3 linked regions of the Stegostoma tigrinum genome follow. The protein of the gene in region 1 binds, or shares a complex with, the protein of each later gene. Links are inferred from orthologs where the notes say so. Each region holds a gene or a part of one and is shown on either strand. Other genes may lie near its edges.

What was found. The genes of interacting proteins can lie anywhere in the genome.
Region 2: med23 (region 1) and med7 share a complex: the UniProt entries of both Homo sapiens proteins name them as parts of the mediator complex. The link is inferred for Stegostoma tigrinum from reciprocal best matches to the Homo sapiens genes MED23 and MED7.
Region 3: med23 (region 1) and med16 share a complex: the UniProt entries of both Homo sapiens proteins name them as parts of the mediator complex. The link is inferred for Stegostoma tigrinum from reciprocal best matches to the Homo sapiens genes MED23 and MED16.

The regions. Positions count from the first base shown.
Region 1 is NC_081357.1:71,147,731-71,154,859, reverse strand, and holds the start of med23 (mediator of RNA polymerase II transcription subunit 23), read left to right. Parts: upstream 1-4,121; 5' UTR 4,122-4,363; coding exon 4,364-4,510; intron 4,511-7,129. UniProt on the Homo sapiens protein: Required for transcriptional activation subsequent to the assembly of the pre-initiation complex. Component of the Mediator complex, a coactivator involved in the regulated transcription of nearly all RNA polymerase II-dependent genes.
Region 2 is NC_081366.1:12,401,068-12,408,478, forward strand, and holds the start of med7 (mediator of RNA polymerase II transcription subunit 7), read left to right. Parts: upstream 1-4,389; 5' UTR 4,390-4,520; coding exon 4,521-4,722; intron 4,723-7,030; coding exon 7,031-7,411. UniProt on the Homo sapiens protein: Component of the Mediator complex, a coactivator involved in the regulated transcription of nearly all RNA polymerase II-dependent genes.
Region 3 is NC_081383.1:28,124,209-28,131,396, reverse strand, and holds the start of med16 (mediator of RNA polymerase II transcription subunit 16), read left to right. Parts: upstream 1-4,166; 5' UTR 4,167-4,459; coding exon 4,460-4,601; intron 4,602-6,204; coding exon 6,205-6,312; intron 6,313-6,925; coding exon 6,926-7,095; intron 7,096-7,188. UniProt on the Homo sapiens protein: Component of the Mediator complex, a coactivator involved in the regulated transcription of nearly all RNA polymerase II-dependent genes.

The DNA of each region.
Region 1 (7,129 bases):
TATGTTGAAGTGTCAGGCAATGGGAACTCAGGGTCATTTTTTACAGACAAAATATATTGTCTCCCCAAACTAGAGGAGACTGCATTGTAAGCAGAAAGTACATTGTACTAGACTGAGTGAAGTGCAAGTAAAGCACTTACCTGGAAGGTGTGTCTGGGATCTTGGACGCTGAGGAAGGAGTAAGTAAATGGGTAGGTGTTACACCTTCTGAGATTGCATGGGAAGATGCCATGATGGTGTTGGGAGTGGACCAAGGTGTCCAGACGGAATGGTTGCTGTGGAACACAGGACAAGGGAGGGGAGGGTAATATGCATCTACTGATGGAATCTCACTGGAGCTGGCTGAAATGACAGCTAATGATCCATTAGATGTGGATGCTGGTGGAGTGGTAAGTGAGGACAAGGAGTCAAATTGTAGGAGATGGGTCAGACATGACTAAGGGCATTATCCACACGGTGATGGGGAATTCTCAGTTGAGGAAAAAGGTGGCTATTTTGCTGGACCCCTTGTTGGCATTATCGGAACACTTGCAACAGAGACAGGGAAACCAGGAGAATGGAATGGAGTCATTACTGGAAGCAGGGTGTGAGGATATATAGTCAGGTGACTATAGAAGTTGGCAGGTTTGTACTGGATACTGGTGGTCAGCCATTCCTCAGAAATAGAAACAGAGATATCACGGAAGTGAAGGGAGGAGTCAGAGATGGAACAGGTGAAGGCGAGGGTGAGGTAGAAATTTTCCAATTCCAGATGACAGAAAGGAAAGCAATACTGATGGTGTTATTGAAGTACCAGAGAAAGAGTTTCAGTAGGGCTGGAGTCAGACTGGAACAACTAATGTTCCACACATTCCACAGAGACAGGCATAACTGGGGCCCATTCAGGTACCCACAGCCACACCTTTGGCCTGAATAAAGTGAGAGGAGTTAAAGGAGAAATTATTCAAAATGAGGACAAGCTTGGCCAGGCAGAGGACGAGGATGGTGATAGATGGGAACAGTTCAGGCCTTTTTTCTAAGAAGAAGCCCTGAGCTCAGCCTGAGTGATGGACATGTAAAGGACTTGCACATCCATAATGGAGGCGGCTGACGCCCGCAAACTAGAAATTCTGAAACTGATGTAAAGCTTCAGAAGATTCACAGATCTAAGTGGGAAAAGACTCGACAAGGGGAGAAAGAAATCAAGTTGAGGTAGAAAGAGATGAATTCTGTGGGGCAGAAACAGTGGGTCTGCTCAGACAGTCTTGTTTGTGGATTTTGGGAAGGAGGTAGAAGCAAGCTGTGCGGAGTTGGAATTGGATTGGGGGGAGATCTCCAGATGAAATTAGATTAGTGACCATTGTGGCCACAATGGCCTGGTGTTTCATGGTGGTCTTATGATATGGGGGAGATGGAAGGAGGTGTCTGATAGCTGGTGCTCAGCCTCCACAATGTAGAGGTCAGCATATCAGACAACAGCACCACTCTTGTCAGCAGGTTGGATTGTTTCATTGCAAAGTCAGGGTTGGATTGACAGCACGGTCTGCAGTCAGTTCAGAGGGAGATAGTTTGACTGGGTAAGGGGGAGGGGTAGAGAAATTGAGGCCTTTTCCTGGTTACAATCAGTTCTACAAAGGGTCACTGGATCTGAAACATTATGCCTGCTTTGTCTCCATGGATGTTGCCTGACCTGCTGAGTCTTTCCTGTAATTTCAGTTTTATATTTTCATCATCTGCAGTTCTTTGATTTTTTTTGTTCTGATATATATGCATTTTCACTTGTGGTGTAATTGTAACTTGTAATTTGTTGTATTTAACTCTTACTTGATAACAAGTTGTGTTTTTTTATGAACTGAATTGAGCTGGATATGCTCATGAACCAAATATCAGAGAGTAACTTGCAGACCAATTGCCACGTGAAGTCCATTAGAAGCATGCTAGCGGAGAATTCAGATACATATCTGTGACAAGTCGTAGTCTTGCATCAACTTCTACAGGATTTTTAAGTAAACTGAATCCATGCATATTAATCTGCATGGCTTACTGATAAAGTAAAATATAATAAGGTTTTACCACGAATAATGAACTTTCTTAATCTAACTTCAAATGGTGCATAAAAGTTTTCTGTGGAGGCAGTTAAACCATAATAGTGGTAAATAACAATAGTCAATAATCATAATTTGAGTTTACAGCAACATTTGTGATAAGATTTTACAGAAAATCAACATCACAACAGACTGAACATTGCATATATAGTGTTTCTGTATGGTTTCCTAAGGGAGTCAACACGATTGTGTAAGTTCATCCCTGCTCCTGTCACTTTTTGTATTAGCTCAATGTGCTCTGCCCCACCTTCTATCACCCTGTATTCTCTGTCATCCTACTGTAATTCACTTCCTTCATTTTGTCTTGATACTCGACACTTAATCTTTACCTCACCCACCACCTCAATTAGAAAAGGGTCTGTGCAGAGGGGTTAAAAGTAAAATGCACAGATCACAACTCCAATCTATTGCACATTCATTTGCTGCCTTTTCCATGTCTGCTCACCAATGCTCAATTTGGCCTCCACCAGGGCTACTTGGCTGCTGACCTCATTATAGATTTGATTGAAACATGGATAAAAGTGTTGAATTCCATGATTGAGGTGACAGTGACTGCTGTTGATATCAAGGCAACATATTGACTAAGTATGGTAAGATTGAAGTCAATGGCAATCACATGAAAAACTCACCAGAGGAGAATATTAAACAGAAAAGAAGGTGGCTATGCTTGTTAGAGGCCAATTATTGCAGTCACAGGGCACCGGTGCAAGAGCTCCACAGTTAAGTGTCCGATATTCATATTCATAACGATATTCATCAATTATCTTCAATCTATCATAAAGTTAGAAATAGGGATTTTCACTAATGATTGTGCAAAGTCAGGGTCATTTACAACTCCTCCGCTACTGAAGTAGTCTTAATTCATATTCAGCAAGATCTGGAGAATATTTAGGCTTGAGCTATGAATTGGCAAATAAAAGTCACATCATGCAAGTGCCATGCAGTGAACATCTCCCATTAGAGAGATTTAACCATTCCCATGATATTTAACGGCAATTCCATTCCTGAATCTCTGACTATATACATCCTGGAAGTTACTATTGACCAAAAACAGAGCTAGACCAGCCATATAGTATGGTTGCCAATGCAGGTCAGAGGCTGGAAATTTTGAGGCAAGTAAACCTAACTCCCCAAAACGTGTCCAGTATCGACAAGGCACAGGTAATCTGATACTTTAAGCAACATTTTTATTTGCCGCCTAAGCTCAGTAGAAGCCGTGTGTACCATTTACAAAATGCACTTCACCTAGGCTCCTTTGACAGCATCTCCCAAACCCAGCACTACTAAAACGGAAAATGAGAAGGCTATCACATGCAAATTTCCCCCCATTCTGACTTAAAATATAAGGCTGTTTGTCGATTATTGATGGGTTAAAATCTTAGAACTCTGTTCCAAACAGCATTGTGAGCGTGAGATAGTCGGAGCTGCAGATGCTGGAGAATCTTACATAACAAGGTGTAGAGCTGGATGAACACAGCAGGCCAAGCAGCATCAGAGGAGCAGGAAGGCTGATGTTTTGGGTCTCGGCCCGAAGCGTCAGCCTTCCTGCTCCTCTGATGCTGCTTGGCCTGCTGTGTTCATCCAGCTCTGCACCTTGTTACCTCAGTATTGTGAGCATCCCTACTTCAGGTGGAATGCAACAGTTCAAAAAGGCAGCTCACTACCACGTCCTGCAAGGCAATTAGGAATGGTTAATAAAAGTGGGCCTGTCCAGTGAGGCGCACTTCCAATGAAATTTTTTTAAAAAATTCCCTTGCAAGAACAATGCTGAAATGAGTCGAAACTTCAATTTCCATGCATAAAGAAGGAATATAGCCTGCGGTTTAAGTGCTTTCCTGGGTTCCGACATAGATTCGCACCCAATCTATTTTTGGATCGATTCGAAATGAGGTTTTTGGGGGAAATTTGAGGGTAATTTGGGCACGGGAATGAATTTGTAAAGTTCTGGGTGGTGTCTGAGGTGGAATTCACAATTTGACACAGGGCTTTGCTGTTTCCTCCAGGTGCCGCACGGGGGCAGTGGCCTTGGGCGTTCAGTCTTCAAGCAAACAGGAAAGCCGGGGCCTCACTCACTGTCGCTGCTTTCAACGAGGCACCGGCTGAATGTAAAAGTCTCCGCCAGTTTACAGCGTATGTAGTTGAAATCTGAATGTGTAAGTGAATCGTTTGGAATACTGCTTTTATTTTTCGATTCGAATTCGCACTTGCAAACGGGGAAAGGAAACTTTGAAACGAAGCTGTTTTGAGAAAGTGCGGAGGCCATCGGAGCACGGCGGAGGATGAGAGGAGACGGAACGGCTCATCCCGGAAGCGGAAACTGCTCAAGGCTTCCGTGGATCGAAGGGGAGGCGGCGGCGGTGGCAGGGGGCCGCGAGATGGCGGTTTCCATGGAGACACAGCTCCAAAGCATCTTCGAGGAGGTGGTGGTGAGTGATATTGGGTTAGAGAGATGGGGATAGGGTGGAGAGAGAGAGAGAGATACACCAGGGAGAGGGAGGGAGAGAAGGAAGGAAGGAAGGAGTGAGTGAAGGAGTGCCTGTTATGAGTAAATCACCACAAGCTACCGTTAATTCAGCAACTTATTAGGAAATCTCACAGACAATCAAGTACTGAAACAATACTTTAAACTATTGAGCAAGTATAAGCCTGTGACTAAATTTACTCAGTACCCAATTAATGGTGAAATTTGGCCAGATTTCCAACCAACAGTGTTGTATCTCTGGAGGTTTCCAGGGTTCGGTCCTTCTCTAGTGTTGTTCTTCTTAGTTCTGCTGTTGAGTCGTTCTGGTGTTGGGTTCTTATACAACTTTCTGTCTGTCAAGATCGCAGTATGACATTATTGATATCCTTTAGGTTTGCTCATCCCCAGTATTGATTACACTTCTGGAGATTTCAAGTCTGCTGCTTGCCTTCATATCAAAAAATTAGCTCCATTGTTCCCCGTTGCGTTAAGATCTCTTTGAAACATGGCTTTTTTCCCCCTCTTCAAAACATTACTTCTGCAGGCAGGTCTAAATTGCCCAAATGTGATGAGGCAGCAGATTGTCAAATAATGTTATCTCTTGTCTCCCAGGAAACAGCTTGTTTATGTTGTTCCTGTAGCTCTTTTCTCCCAGGGTGGTTAATTCACATGTCGCTGTAATCCCTTTTTCTAACAGTTTCTCATTCTTCCTTTCATCTCTAGAAACAGTTTTCCTTTCATCTCTAGAAACAGTTTATCTCGAGTTATTGCCGTTTCTTTCAATCCATGTGTACCGATTTAGCTCAGTTAATTTTTCCAGTCCATGTACAGTTATTAAAATTCTGAAACGTATGTTGTCAAAAGAGAAATTGGGTTAGGTTTAGACAGAGAGATAACAGGAAGAGGGAGAAATCTACTTTGGGTTAAAGAGAGCAAGAGAGAAATTGTTAGGGTTAGAGGAGAGAGACAGAGCTAACATTAGTAAGAGTGAGGCACCAGTAGGGGGATGGAGTGGGGAGAGAGTGAGACCCACCAGAAAGAGAGCGAGAGAATTTATTGCCCATTCCTAGTTGCCCTTGAGAATGTGCTGGTGAGCTTGTACCTACTTCGGGTTGACCCGCAATGCCATTAGGGAGGGAATTCCAGAATTTTGACCCAGCGACAGTGGAGGAATGGTGATATATTTCCAAGTCAGAGTGGTGAGTGGCGTGGAGGGGCAGTTGCAGGTTGTAGTGTTCACATGTATTGGCAATCCTCAACCTTCTAGGTAGAAGTGGTATGTTTGGAAGTTGTTTTAAGACCGTGGGAAAAGAAACAGAATTAGGCCATTCGCCCAACAAGCCTGCTCAGCCTTTCAACCCGACCGTCTTTGGTCAATTTATGCTGTGCATTTTGTAGATCAAACATATATCTGCTACTGAGCATTGTTGGTTTTGGGAGTGGATGCTTGTGAATGTGATGCCAATCAAGTGGACTGCTTTGTCCTGAATGATGTTGATCTTCTTAAGTGTCATTGGAATCGCACCTATCTAGGCAAGTTGGAGAGTATTCCATCACATTCTTGATTTCTGGTCAATGGTAACACCAAGGATGGTGTCAGTGGGGGATTTAGTGGCGTTAACACTGAATGTCAAGGAGCCTTGGTTAGACTGTTTATTTTTGGTGATGGCCATAACCTGGCATTGTATGGCATGAATGATACTAGCCATTTGCCACTTGTCAGCCCATAACTGAATAAAGTCCAGATCTTGTTGCATTTGAACATGGACTGCATCATTATCTCAGGAGCCATAAATGATGTTGAACATTTCAGTTGTCAGTGAACATCCCCACTTCTGACCTTATGATAGAGGGAAGGTCATTGATGAACTAGTTGAAGATGATTGGGCCTCGAACAGTACCCTGAGGGAATCCTGCAGAGTTGTTCTGGGATCTCCAACAATCACAATCATCTTCCTATGTGTCAGGTATGACTCCAACCAGCAGAGAGTTTGCCCTGATACCCCTTGATTCCAGTTTTGCTAGTGCTCCTTCTTGCCACACTCAGTCGAATACTGCTTTGATGTCAAGAGTTGTCACTCTCACCTCAGCCCTGGAATTCACCTGTTTTGTCCATGTTTAAACCAAGGCTGTAATGAAGTCAAGAGCTGATTGACCCTGGTGGAACCCAAACTGGGGATCAGCTGGTTTACTGCTGAGCAGGTGCTGCTTGATAACACTGACGTCACCTTCCATCACTTTCTTGATGATTGACAGCAGACTGATGGGGGTGATAATTTGCCAGGTTTGAGTTGTCCTGCTTTTTAGGCACAGGATATACCTGGGGAATTTTCCATGTTATCGGATAAATGCCAGCGTTGTAACTGTACTGGAAGAGTTGGCAAGGGGAGCTGCAAGTTTAGGAGCTCAGGTGTACAGTACTATTGCTGAATGTTTTCAGGGCTATAGCCTTTGCAGAATCCGGTGCCTCCAACTGTTTCCTGATATGACATGGTGTGAATTGAATTAACTGAAAGCATGGAATGTGTAATGCTGGGGACCACTGGAGGAGGCTGAGATGGATCATCCACTCGGCACTTCAGGC
Region 2 (7,411 bases), on another chromosome or scaffold:
ATTTTAATTATTAAAGGAATCAGAGGTTGTGGGGAAATGGCAGGGAAGTGGAGTTGAGGGTTATCAGATTTGACATGATGTCATTGAATGACAGAGCAGACTCATTGGGCTGTGTAGCCTACATCTGCTCCTTTTTCTCATTCATTCATGGAATATGGCCACCACTGACTATAGCCAGCATTTATTGGCCATCCCTAATTGCCAGAGGGCAGTTAAGAGTCATCCACATTGCTGTGAAATGCTGCTTCACCTAGAAAGACTGCTTAGGCCTTTGGATGGTGAGCAGGGAGGAAGTGAAGGGTGAGGTGTTGCACCTTCTGCAGTTACAAGGAAGGCGCTGTGAGAACATTGGAGGCACTAGGGGGGAGATCTCCTGAGGTAATGAGATCAGTGACAGTCCTAGCAATGATGGGTTGATGTTCGTATGTGGGGTCATGGTCCAGGGGCAGGTGGGAGGAAGTGTCAGAGAGATGGCATTGAGCCTCTGCAAGATAAAGGTCAGCGCTCCAGACGACAATAGCAACACCTTTGTCAACTGGTTTGGAAACAAAGTTAGGGTTGGACCCTGAGAGAGCAAAGTGCAGCATTTTCAGAAGGGGGCAGGACATTGATGGGGATCTGGAGTCATATGTAGGCCAGACCATTTAAGGATGGCAGATTTCCTTCCATAAAGGACGTTAGTGAGCTAGATAGGGTTTTCCCTGACAATGGTTTCATGGTCATTAGAATCTTAATACAGATTTTTTAAAATACTGAAATCGAATTCCACCATCTGCCATTGTGATGTCCTTTCCCCCACGACATTTCCTGGGTATCCAGATTAATAGTCTAGTGATAATACCAATAGGCTATCATCTCCCAGTCATGTGGTCTTACGGTTTTGACCCTTCTGCCAATAGAAATAGTTTCATGCTATCTGGGATAACAAGATGTAGAGCTGGATGAACACAGCAGGCCAAGCAGCATCTTAGGAGCAGGAAAGCTGACATTTCAGTCTGACATTTTGTGATTTTTAACACCTCATTCAAATTTCATTTAACATTCTCTGTACTGAGAAGAACTGCTCCAATCTCCACACTTCACCAATGTATCAATGTAACTGATAAATGTCCCTTGTATTCAAGCTTGAGATTCACAGCCTCAGCTTCCTAATGTCGATGTTTGGTCTTCTCAGGAAGAGGGAGACATGGGTCTACCAGGCTTGTAATTCTCTGACAGGGTGGCGAAAAGCTAAAGGCTTCAGATCTTTGGTGCTGAAGCACAAACACACACATTACAACACTGGCTCTATTCTTCAGACCTACTTCAATGTCCACCAAGAAGTTTGAAATAGACTGAGGACATAACTGAGGGGAAGAGCACTGACACATGGCCCAACACTGCCACCCAGCACAGCCAAGGGATTGCATAGTGACATCGCCCTCCACTGGGACCAACGGCATTAACTTTTAACATTATTTCGTAATCACTGATTTATACTGACCTGAGCTGTAATGTTGAACTTTTAACTTATTTCTTCATTCTTTTCCTCTTTATCTAAGATTTCGTACTTAGGTTCCTTGTGTCTTAGATGGCGCCATTGAAAACTTTTCACTGTACTTCTACATCCCTGTACATGTGACAATAAAAATCTAATTCTAATTCTAATTCTAAAATGCTGGCTGTTTCCAAATAGCAGACAGTGAATATTATTCAAACTTATGATTTTTGTATTTGATATAGAACAACAAAAGATGGATGTAAAAGATGTGGACATACATAATCATAAATAATATCTAGTGTCTAACTACTATATATTTAAAATGTGCTTTCCACATGCATCTTCTGTCTTATAAATTCTAACTTAACACACGTATTGTTATCAAATTGTAATTCGCCCATTGCCAGTGAAGGCACTGCTGTGCTAAGTTTTCACATCAAGAAAGATCTGCGTTTATATAATAAGGCGTGGAGCTGGAGGGATACAGCAGGCCAGGCAGCATCAGAGGAGTAGGAAAGCTGACGTTTCAGGGTTGGGACCCCCTTCAGAATTTTTTTTTCCGAAGAAGCATCCTGATCCAAAAAAAAAATCAGCTTCCCTGCTCCTCTGATGCTGCCTGGCCCACTGTGTCCCTCCAGCTCTACACCTTGTTATCTCAGACTCCAGCATCGGCAGTTCTTACAATCGCTGCATTTATATAATGCTTCTTTACAGAATATCTCAAAGCTTTGACAACCAACGAAGTGTAGTCTAGGGAGCATGTCAATATTTAGAGAAAGCACAAGTGAAGTGTGTCAGAGTTTACAAGGGTTCCCTGGGGTGGGACAGTGTATTTGTACTTGGGGGAGGCGATCGCCTCGTGGTATTATAGCTGGACTGTTAATCCAGAGACTCAGATAATAATCTGGAGACCCAGGTTCAAGTCCTGCCACAGCAGATGGTGGAAATTGAATAAATATTTGGAATTAAGAGTCTAATGATGACCACAAATCTATTGTCAAAGGTTGGAGGAAAAACCCATCTGGTTCACTAATGTTAATAAAAATTCCAAAGAGTTGCAGATGTTATAAATCAGGAACAAAAATAAAGTTGCTGGAAAAACTCAGCAGGTCTGGCAGCATCTGTGGAGGAGAAAACAGAGTCAACATTTCAGGTCTGGTGACCCTTCCTCAGAACTAGGCACGAATAGAGATTGGAACTGAAATCCCATCGGAGAAAGTAGAGCCTCTTCAAGGTGGGCATGCCTGGAAGAGATGTGGCAGTGAGTTAAACACTAAATAAAAACCAAAAGAACTGCAAATGCTGTAAATCAGGAGCTAAAGCAAAGTTACTTCCTCAGTTCTGAGGGAGGCTCACCTCCCTGAGGTTAACTCTGTTTTCTCCTCCACAGATGCTGCCAGACCTGCTGAGCTTTTCCAGCAACTTTGTTTTTGGTTCACTAATGTTCTTCAGGGAAGAAAGCTGATCTGGCCTACATGTGACTCCAGTCCGACAGAAATGTGGCTGACCCTGGGTAATAAATGCTGCCCAGTCACTGGTGGGAACAGTCAGCTAATTACCAATGTGTGCATGAGGGAGTGTTAATTCCCCCCAGTCTCATTTCCTGTTAATGAAACAAGGATTGAGACATGCGCATGCGCGATTCTGCAACAGTTCCCCGAGTAAGGGCTAATGGGAACTGCAGATGCTGGAGAATTCCAAGATAATAAAATGTGAGGCTGGATGAACACAGCAGGCCAAGCAGCATCTCACGAGCACAAAAGCTAACGTTTCAGGCCTGGACCCTTCATCAGAGAGGGGGATGGGGAGAGGGAACTGGAATAAATAGGGAGAGAGAGGGAGGCGGGCCGAAGACGGAGAGTAAAGAAGATAGGTGGAGAGGAGAGTATAGGTGGGGAGGTAGGGAGGGGATTGGTCAGTCCAGGGAAGACGGACAGGTCAAGGAGGTGGGATGAGGTTAGTAGGTAGATGGGGGTGCGGCTTGGGGTGGGAGGAAGAACCGGTTAGGGAGGCAGAGACAGGTTGGACTGGTATTGGGATGCAGTGGGTGGTGGGGGAAGAGCTGGGCTGGTTGTGTGGTGCAGTGGGGGGTGGGGACGAACTGGGCTGGTTTAGGGATGCAGTGGGGGAAGGGGAGATTTTGAAACTGGTGAAGTCCACATTGATACCATATGGCTGCAGGGTTCCCAGGCGGAATATGAGTTGCTGTTCCTGCAACCTTCGAGTGGCATCATTGTGGCAGTGCAGGAGGCCCATGATGGACATGTCATCTAGAGAATGGGAGGGGGAGTGGAAATGGTTTGCGACTGGGAGGTGCAGTAGTTGGTTGCGAACTGAGCGGAGGTGTTCTGCAAAGCGGTCTCCAAGCCTCCGCTTGGTTTCCCCAATGTAGAGGAAGCCACACCGGGTACAATGGATACAGTATACCACATTGGCAGATGTGCAGGTGAACCTCTGCTTAATGTGGAATCATATTCCGCCTGGGAACCCTGCAGCCTAATGGTATCAATGTGGACTTCACCAGTTTCAAAATCTCCCCTTCCCCTACTGCATCCCTAAACCAGCCCAGTTCGTCCCCTCCCCCCACTGCACCACACAACCAGCCCAGCTCTTCCCCTCCCCCCACTGCATCCCTAAACCAGTCCAACCTGTCTCTGCCTCCCTAACCGGTTCTTCCTCTCACCCATCCCTTCCTCCCACCCCAAGCCGCACCCCCATCTACCTACTAACCTCATCCCACCTCCTTGACCTGTCCGTCTTCCCTGGACTGACCTATCCCCTCCCTACCTCCCCACCTATATTCTCCTCTCCACCTATCTTCTTTACTCTCCATCTTCGGTCCGCCTCCCCCTCTCTCCCTATTTATTCCAGTTCCCTCACCCCATCCCTCTCTCTGATGAAGGGTCAAGGCCCGAAACATCAGCTTTTGTGCTCCTGAGATGCTGCTTGTCCTGCTGTGTTCATCCAGCCTCACATTTCATTATCCCCGAGTAAGGGCGCTGACTCGCTACGTCACTGTGAGTGGCAGCCTATCTACCCAATGGGACGCTGTACCGTGCCGCGATTTGCGGCTGCTTTAACCAATGGGAGCTGGCCTAGCCTGGCCTGGCCACGGCGTTCGGCGGTGGCGGTGAGTACGCGAGGTCGGGGATGTGGCCTGTGCCTCTCCGAGCCCGGCTCTGCGCCGGCGGCTGAGATCTTCCCCACGGTTTTGTACCGCAACATTGGGAACTCCGCAGGCGGTTAGTCCTAGATCATTGGAGAGAGATTCGGCCTCCGCACCTCCCTTTCTAGTTATCCCTGTACCCCCCCGTTGTGTGGGGGTGGGGAGAGAATGTTTCCCGTTCCCCCCTTCCCCCGGTCAGGTGGGGAGTGGGTTACCTAATCACCATGTCTGTGGAGGGTAGGGGCGTGTTATTCCCTCCACTGTATGAATGGGAATGGGGTGGGGTTTAATCCCCCCCCCGCGTCTGTGTGGGGTTTAATTCTCTCCCCCCCCCCCCGTCTGTGTGGGGTTTAATTCTCTCTTCCCCCCCCCCCCCCCGTCTGTGTGGGGTTTAATTCTCTCTCTCCCCCCCCCCCCCCCCGTCTGTGTGGGGTTTAATTCTCTCCCCCCCCCCCCCGTCTGTGTGGGGTTTAATTCTCTCCCCCCCCCCCCCCCCCCCCGTCTGTGTGGGGTTTAATTCTCTCCCCCCCCCCCCCCCCCGTCTGTGTGGGGTTTAATTCTCTCCCCCCCCCCCCCCGTCTGTGTGGGGTTTAATTCTCTCTTCCCCCCCCCGTCTGTGTGGGTTTTAATCCCCCCCCCCCGTCTGTAGTTTAATTCCCCCCCCCCTTGGTCTAGGAGGGGGTTAACCCCCGCTGTCTGGGGGAAAAGTGTTAATACCTCCTGTCTGTGAAAAGGGGTTAATATCTGCTGTCTGTCTGGGGGTTAATCCCCTCCCATCTGGGATGTGGAGGTTAATCCACGCCCCCTTCCCCGGTCTGGGAAGCGGAGTGTACTAGCTATAAGGAGAGGTTGGACAAACTTTGATTGATTTCGTTGGAGCATCAAAAGCTGCAGGCTGACCTGAAATAAAATTATTACAGACACAGATGGGGGTAGTCAGTCTTTTCCCCAGGGTGGAAATGTCAAATACGAGGGGGCATAGGATTAAAATGAGATGGGGAAAGTTAAGGAGATGTGAGAACAGTTTTTACACGTAGGGTGGTAGGTGTCTGGAACACATTGCCAGGGGCGGTGGTAGAAGCAAATATACTAGAAACATTAAAGAGGCAGTTAGACAGACACATGAACAGGCAGGGATTAGAGAGATATGGACCATGTGTGGGCAGATGAGATTAGTTTAGAATTAGAATCCTTACGGTGTAGAAACAGGCCCTTTGGCCCAACAAGTCTACACCACTTCTTGGTGCATCCCAACCAGACCCATGCCCCTTTTACCCACCTAATCTACAGAGCCTTGAATTTTACATGCAATTTAGCTTAGCCAATCCACCTAACCTGCACATCTTTGGACTGTGGGAGGAAACCAGATTACCCGGAGGAGAGTGTGCAGACTCCACACAGACAGTTGTCCAAGGGTGGAATTGAACCTGGGTCCCTGGCACGGTGAGGTAGCAGTGCTAACCATGGAGCCACCATGTAGCCCTAGAATGCTGGTCAGCACAGACATGGTGGGCCAAAGGGACTGTTCTCGTGCTGCTCTATATGTTTTATATAAAGGCTTGGATCACAGAATGGATTTTTATGACAATCTGACAGCTTCATGGTCATATACTGACAGCTGTAATTTATTGCCAATTCATTTTAAATAATTCTTGAGCTGCTTGGTGAGACTTAAACTTTGTATTGTATGCATTATTCTGAGGCTGCTGTGATTTCTACACAGACTCGATGTGATTAAGTTCTGAGGTGGCCTAGTCAGTATCTGCTTGAAACCAATACACAGAATAATAAGCCATTCAGGCGTGCAAGAGGGAAGCAAAACACAAGGGAATTAGTTTATGATCTGGAAATGACGAATGCAGGGTTATGTGGAGAAGGCACAAGATGAATTGCTTATTTGGAGAGCCAGCCAAACAGTGGACTGAAAGACCTCCTCTGCATTGTATTATATCTCTGAACACAAACTGTTCACAGTGCCTGAACTAACCCAGGTGCTTCATAGGAACGTCTGTCAGACAGATTTTGACATTGAGCCAGATGAGGACATAACAGTAAATGAATTTTAATGAATATCTTAAAGGAGGTAACAGAGCTTTTGAGATTTAGGAGAGGGATATTGGTGATCAGGGCCTTGTCAGCCAGAGGCCCAGTTGCCAGTGACAGTTGGAGATAAACAAGAGGCTGAGATTGAAGGGGTTCAGTGGTCTTTTAGGGCTGGTGAAGCTATGTAAATAGGCAGGGCTGATGCCTTGGAGTTTAAAAACAAGGATGAGAATTTTAAAATTAACACAAAACCAGAGGATAGGCTTTGAGTGGCAACTTTGCTGGATTGAAGACTAAAACCAAGGTTTTGAGGTTGTTCCTTTTTTTTTCCCCTTTTGCAGATCCAGTTACATTGAGTGCAATGGGTGAGCCACAGCAGGTGAGTGCGTTGCCTCTGCCTCCAGCACAGTACTATAAGGAGTACACAGACGACAATGTCCGCAAAGGCTTTGCTCCTAAGCCACCACCTCCCATCAGGGACAGCTACACTATGTTTGGCAACCAGTTCCAGTGCGACGACTTGATCATCCGTCCATTGGAGGGCCAGGGCATCGAGAGGCTCCACCCTTCACAGTTCGACCACAAGAAAGAGCTCAAGAAACTCAACATGTCAATCCTGGTGAACTTCTTGGACTTACTGGACATCCTGATCAAAAGCCCCGGGAGCATAAAACGAGAGGAGAAACTGGAGGACCTCAAACTCCTGTTTGTTCACATGCATC
Region 3 (7,188 bases), on another chromosome or scaffold:
AGAAATAAAAAGCTAAGAAAGATGAATGTGTGGCTGAAAAGGTGATGCAGGAGGGAAGGTTTTAGATTTCTGGAACTGGCTGTGGGGGAGATGGTACCTTTACAGGACAGATGGGTTACATTTGAACAGAGCCAAGATGATCATACAGAACTTCAAAAGGACAGTGACAAGTTGTGGATTGGGTAGATAGGTGGCAGATGAAGTTCAATGTGGAGCAGTGCAAGGTGATACACCTTGGTACAACGAAAAGGAGAGACAATATGAAATAAGGGGTATATTCTAAAGGGTGCGCAGGAACAGACAAAACTCAGTGCATACATACATAGGATGTTAAAGGTGGCAAGACAGCTGGAGCAGCCGAATGATAAAGCATACAGCATTCTTGGCTTAATTAATAGGTTCAGAGAGTACAAGACCAAGGAGGCTATGATTAACATATATAAAACACTGGTTAGACCTCAGCTGGGCACTGTAAACAGTCTGGGCACCAGACTTTATAGGAAGGAATGCGAATGTATTGTAGAAAGGGCAGATGAGGTTTATGAGAAAGATTCCAGGAATGAGAAACATCAGTTATGAGGACTGATTACTGAAGCTGGGGCTATTTATCTTGCCATGGAGGAAGTGGAGGGGAAACTTGACTGAAGCCTTCGAACTCATGACACTGGACAGTATAGATAGGGAGAAACTGTTCTCACTTGTCAGAGGATCAAGATGCAGAAGGCACAGTTGTAAAATGTTTTGTAAAAGGAGCAAATGTGGACAAGAAAAAGGTTGCCCAGCACGTGTACAACCTCATCCACAACACAACTACAAATCTTCTCAAAAACTAAGAACTCATCTTTTCCTATCTTGATTCAGTCTATTCTCCCCGGTCCAGTCCCTGCCCACATATATCCGCAATTCCATTGACGCTTAACACCAATTTCGGAATTTCCAATTTGCAGGTTCCAGCCACTTCCACTTTATCATGGATGTGTAATCCCTTTACACATACAAACCCCGCTAGGATGGTCTCAGGGCAGTCCACTTCTTCCTGAACTGTCCCCACCCAGCACCACTCTCCTCCATTTGACCGAGCTCATCCTCAGCCTGAACAACTTCTCTTTTAACTCCTCTCATTTTTTTCAGGTCAGAGGGATGGCCATGTGTACCTGTCTAGGCCCCAGGTATGCCTGTCTCTTCAGGGGTACATGGAACATTCCTTGTTCCAATCCTATTATGGACCCCACCCACACCTCTTTCTCTGATATATTGAAAATGCCATCAGTGCTGCTTCCCTCTCTTCTTTGGAATTGGAAAAGTTAATTGATATCGATTCCAATTTCCTCCCTGCCCTCATTTTCATTTATCTCTGGTTTATCTCTGGCTTGTCCCTTCCCTTCCTCAACATCTCTGTTTCCATATCTGGGGATAGATTGGCCACTAATATCTACTATAAACCCACTGATTCCCACAGCTACCTGGATTATACACCCTCGCAGTCTGCTTCCTGTAAAGATTCCATTCTCCCAGTTCCTCTGTCTCCTTTGCATATATTCTGGTGAGGCCAGCTTCAACAAGACAGCCACTAAAATGCCCATCTTCTTCCTCAACTGAGGATTCTCCAGTTTTTGACAGGGACCTCAACCAGGTCCGATCCATCTCCTGCATTTCCACCCTCACCCCTTCTCCTCCATCCAGAAAACGATAGTGTTCCCCTTGTCCTAACCTACCATCCCACCAGCATCCACATTCAGAAGATCATCAGCTGCCATTTCCGCCACTTCCAGCGAGATGCCACCACCTGACATATATTCCCCATCCCTCCCTTGTCCGACTTCCGCAGCGACTGTTCCCTCTGTGACTCCCTGGTCACAACACCCAGCAACCCATAGAACACCATGGCACCTGTAACTGCCAAAGGTGTAACACCTGTCCATTTACCTTCTCCCTCCTCAACAACCAAGGGCCCAAACATACCTTCCAGATGAAGCAGCACTTTACCTGCACTTCACACAATCTAGTCCACTGCATTCGTTGCGCACAATGTGGGCTCCTCTACATTGCAGAAACAAAGCGTAGACTGGGTGACATCTGTGCAGAACATCTAAGTTCTGCCTGCAAAAAAGACCCTAAGCTTCCAGTTGCCTGTCACTTTAACACCCTGTTCCCTGTCAACATCTTTGTCTCAGGCTTGCTGTAGTGTTTGAGTGAAGCTCAGCACAAGCTGGAGGAAAAATACCTTATTTTCCACTTGGGTGCATCGCACCCCTCCCGACTCAATACAGTTCAATAATTTTAGGGCCTGAATTCTCCTATGGATTAGACCCCAACCCCACACAACAGGCCTTATTATCATATAACCTGCCATTACATATTTTAACTATTGTTAGTCCCCTTTCATTTCACCATTACCTATTGTTGGTCCCCATTAACTGCTATCCATCCTCCTAACCAGATCATTATCCAGCCCTTCATCTGTCCAATTGTTCTTCTTTCTCTTTGCGCTTTATCCCACCTATCATTTACTCCTTACCCTCTGCTATCTTCTGCATATAAACCAACATTTTCCTAGCTACCATCAATTCTGAGGAAGGGTCAACAAATTTGAAATTTTATCTATGGTTGATCTTCTAAGATGCTGCCAGACCTGCTGAGCTTTTTCAGCAATCTCTATTTTTGTTTCTGATTCATAACGTTTTGCCTAAAAATGCCTGGTAGAGGTAAATTGAAATGAAACATTTGATGGGAAATGTCAAGATTTATTTAAAGAGAAATAATATGCAGGGTTACAGAGAAAAGGCAGAGTTTGGCACCAAGTTGAAATGATCAGAGAGGCTTTTGCAGACAATGGACTGAATGGCCTCTGTTTGCACCACAGCAATTACGATTTAGAAACTATTTAGGTGACATTCATTCTCTTCAAGAATGATCCCCAGGTTACAAAGTCATTTAAACGTATCAAGTCCTGTGTTTAAAAAGTGATACACACGTAACAAATAACTATTTGGCCTATATAAATTTATATATTTTATTAATGTGCCCCAATAGAGAAGCTGTTGTTAGAATAAGGAAAATGCATCTGGAAAGGGGGTAGAAATGCTGAAAATGTAAAATAAAATGTAGAAAAACCGCAGCATGGTAAAATAGAAACAAAAAGATATATGCTTAAATTCTCAGAGATAATAGGAACTGCAGATGCTGGAGAATCCGAGATAACAAGGAGTGTAGCTGGATGAACACAGCAGGCCAAGCAGCATCTTAGGAGCAGGAAAGCTGACGTTTCAGACCTTCTGATGAAGGGTCTAGGCCCAAAATGTCAGCTTTCCTGCTCCTAAGATGCTGCTTGGCCTGCTGTGTTCATCCAGCTCCACGCCTTGTTATCTTATATTCTCATTTCACTTTCAGATAATGGAGTGATTTGTTGTATTCTCCCAGTAATTTAACTAAGGTACCAGTAAATGTATAAACACTTCAATAATTGGAATGGGTCAATGAGGGACTGCACCTTTGATTCTAACATTCTTTTAAAATCAAAACAAAAACAAAATCTGAAGGTTTGCACAAACAGAGATTCTTAAACTAATCGCCTAGGGAAAACATGTAAACATGTTTGTACTTTCTACCATTTATCAATAATTTAAAAACTACAGAAATCCGTTAATTGACAAAACGTTCTCAATTCAAAGTGAAATCTCAAAGAGCCGCATCGCCTAAGTAACGGTTGCAGGAACAGCAACTCATATTCCGCCTGGGAACCCTGCAGCCCAATGGTATCAATGTGGACTTCACCAGTTTCAAAATCTCCCCTTCCCCCACTGCATCCCTAAACCAGCCCAGTTCATCCCCTCCCCCCACTGCACCACACAACCAGCCCAGCTCTTCCCCCCCACCCACTGCATCCCAAAACCAGTCCAACCTGTCTCTGCCTCCCTAACCGGTTCTTCCTCTCACCCATCCCTTCCTCCCACCCCAAGCCGCACCCCCAGCTACCTACTAACCTCATCCCACCTCCTTGACCTGTCCGTCTTCCCTGGACTGACCTATCCCCTCCCTACCTCCCCACCTATACTCTCTCCACCTATCTTCTTTACTCTCCATCTTCGGTCCGCCTCCCCCTCTCTCCCTATTTATTCCAGTTCCCACCCCCCATCCCCCTCTCTGATGAAGGGTCTAGGCCCGAAACGTCAGCTTTTGTGCTCCTGAGATGCTGCTTGGCATGCTGTGTTCATCCAGCCTCACATTTTATTATCACATTTTATTATCTTGGAATCTCCAGCATCTACAGTTCCCATTATCTCTCGCCTAAGTAACGCATGCGCCGTGTCAATAGGCCGATCCAGTGATGGGCGCGCTTGCGCTGAGTGGGACAGGATGAGGCGCGCTTGCGCTGAGTGGGACAGGATGAGGCGCGCCTGCGCGCTGTGTGCTGCTGGTTGGGCGCCTTTGCGCTCTGGACGTTGAGGAAACAGTAAACATGGATATAGCGTATGTATGTGAGTGGGAGAAGCGGCCGAAGAGCAATTATTGTCCGTCTGTACAGTTGGTGTGTGCTTGGTCCTGCAGAAACCTGGTTGCCTTCACAACGGATCTGAAGAACGAGGAAGAGCAAGAACAAGGTCAGGTTTTGGGTCTGGTCTGCCTCATCTTTTCACTGTATTTGTTCAGATGTAATAAAGTTCATTTTGAGTTAAAATTCTTAAGTATCTCCAGTATTCGCTAACGTTTTGACCTAGTTTTTGCAAACTTGAAAGCAGCTTGGTAAACAGCGTGTGACTGTTGTTAGGTGAACAGAAATGTCAGTCCAGTTGCAGAGAATAAGATCTCAACAGTAATTTAAGGTGATCAACTTATGTTTCGGTTATCAATGTAGGGAAAGAAAGCCTTGCCACCTAATCAGAATCTATCATACTGCAGTTATCAATTTTTGCAGCTTGGTCAGGGGTACTTGTGCCTTCAAGCCTCACTTCAAAGAGTAGAGCACAAATACATGCTGAAACATCAGTCACTTTAACAGGGAATAATGTGCCATGAGAGAAGGTACCACCTTTGAATTGTTGGGGTCCTCTGAAATGTATGTTAAAGATGCCAAGGCACAATTTAGGGCAGGGTATGGTGCTTATTTCTGGTGTAGTAATTGTTGTTTATCTCTCCAATCAATGTCTGAAAACAGACTAGTGTTTTCATTTGCATTATTGTTTGTGAGATTTTGCTCCACACAACTTGGCCTTCTGCATTTCCCAAATTACAATAGTGGCTTTATTTCAAGATGTGTTTTAAGATATCCTGACATTATGAAAAGTCCTATATAAATGTAATATTTATTTATTTTTCTTGCACTGCATGCTTTTGACTTGACATTATTGAACAAGTTTGTTTTAATGCAAAGCCCATACCTCTGAGGATTAAGATATTTTGTTCTGTCTGTTGGTAAATATCAAAATGGATAGGTTCAAAGAATTACTGTGGCTACAAAAGCAGCAGATTGTGAGAATTAAATTTGTTTCTGTCAGCAGTAAGAGGAAGAGAGATTGGCTTTAGATTATTTACTAAAATAACATTTCCTGATTTAAACTCCAACCCAATTTTTTTTTTTAAGTGTAACTAGAAATAAATGAAAAGCTTTCAAATATACTGGAGTTGTACCAAATATGACAAATATCCAAGATGCTGTTAGGAAACTGTAACTTCTAAATAGAAGTCAAAACAGAGGACTGGAGTAAGTTAAAAGCATTTGCCGTAACAGTTGAATATTGATGCGACAAGATAGTTGACCCAATGGCTTGTAAACAATTTCCCTATGTTCTGCCTCTGACAGGATTTAAACAATTGCAAAAGATGATAACCAAAATTTTGAACTAGACGTGTGTTGCCAACTTGAACTATTTCAGTGCAGTGCACTTGTTAAAAGGAAAGGAATTTCCAACATACTGGGGTCTTGATAAATACTTTGCAACAATGAGTTCAAGCCCCAAGCTTTACTGTCTTGTGGGAGGTACCAACTTTTGCATTCTTACTGAATGCTGACCGGTCCACCTGAAATTGAGCTTTCTTTCTCTTTACATTTGTTCCTAAACCTGGTATTTTTTTTTTCAGTATGTAGACCCAATCAACTTGCTCTGTGTTTCCAGAATTTTTTGGTATTTTGCTTATTCATGGCTTAATTGAGAATATTTTAGCAATGAGACTGTACAGAGTTTCCTAACAGTATCTTTTTTATAGATCTTACTTATATGATTCACATTTTGGATACTGAACATCCTTGGGATGTTTACTCGATTAACTCAGGTCATCATGAAGTGATTACTTCTCTGGAGTGGGATCAATCTGGTAAGCCTTTTTTAATGAACCTGCAATCTGTCCCAGCACCACAAGATTCAATTGTGAAATGAACAGGCAAGTCTAGATATGTAGGAGCACCACAAATTTGATAAATAAATAACTATGCATAACAAATTATAATCTGATGAAGATCAGTTATTCTTTCTAATTGGTGGTGCCTGATGGTACAGAAAGTTTAGGGCTTAAGATCTGACCTGTTCAATGTTTTTCCCTATTGCCTGTACTCTCATTTAAAGATGTGTTAGGTAGAAAGTTGAGATAATGTTTCTGCTTTACGCTGTATGTATGGAAGCCACAAAATGCAGAGCGTACTGTTGATTTTACCACAAAATGCAGAGAAAAACTCTTTCTCGATATTTCGCAGAGGCATGGTCACCCTGGTCAATGCTTCATAATGAATAGATGACATACACATTTCTTTATGTGGATAGCTGCTACATTGTTGACTGAATTATCTTCTGGCTTCAAATTTAATGTAGTTGGAAAGAAAAATTAGCTCAGGAACTGAATGGTATCATAATTGTTACTAAAATGTATGTTTTTGAATTGAGTTGCCTATTTAAAATGTATATTATTTTGCTTCACTCTGTCTCCTTTGAAGGTTCTCGGTTATTATCTGCTGATGCTGATGGTCGGGTGAAATGCTGGAGTATGACTGATCATCTGGTAAACAGCTGGGATAGCACAGTTGGGAGTTCAGTGGACGGGGACCCCATTGTAGCCTTGTCGTGGCTACACAACGGTGTCAAGTTGGCCTTGCATGTAGAAAAGGTATATGCTACAGTCAAAGTCTTCAGCAATATTTTAACTACCTGTCAAAATCCAGTATCTTGTCTGAAAAAAAGAATCAGTGCCTGATACGGT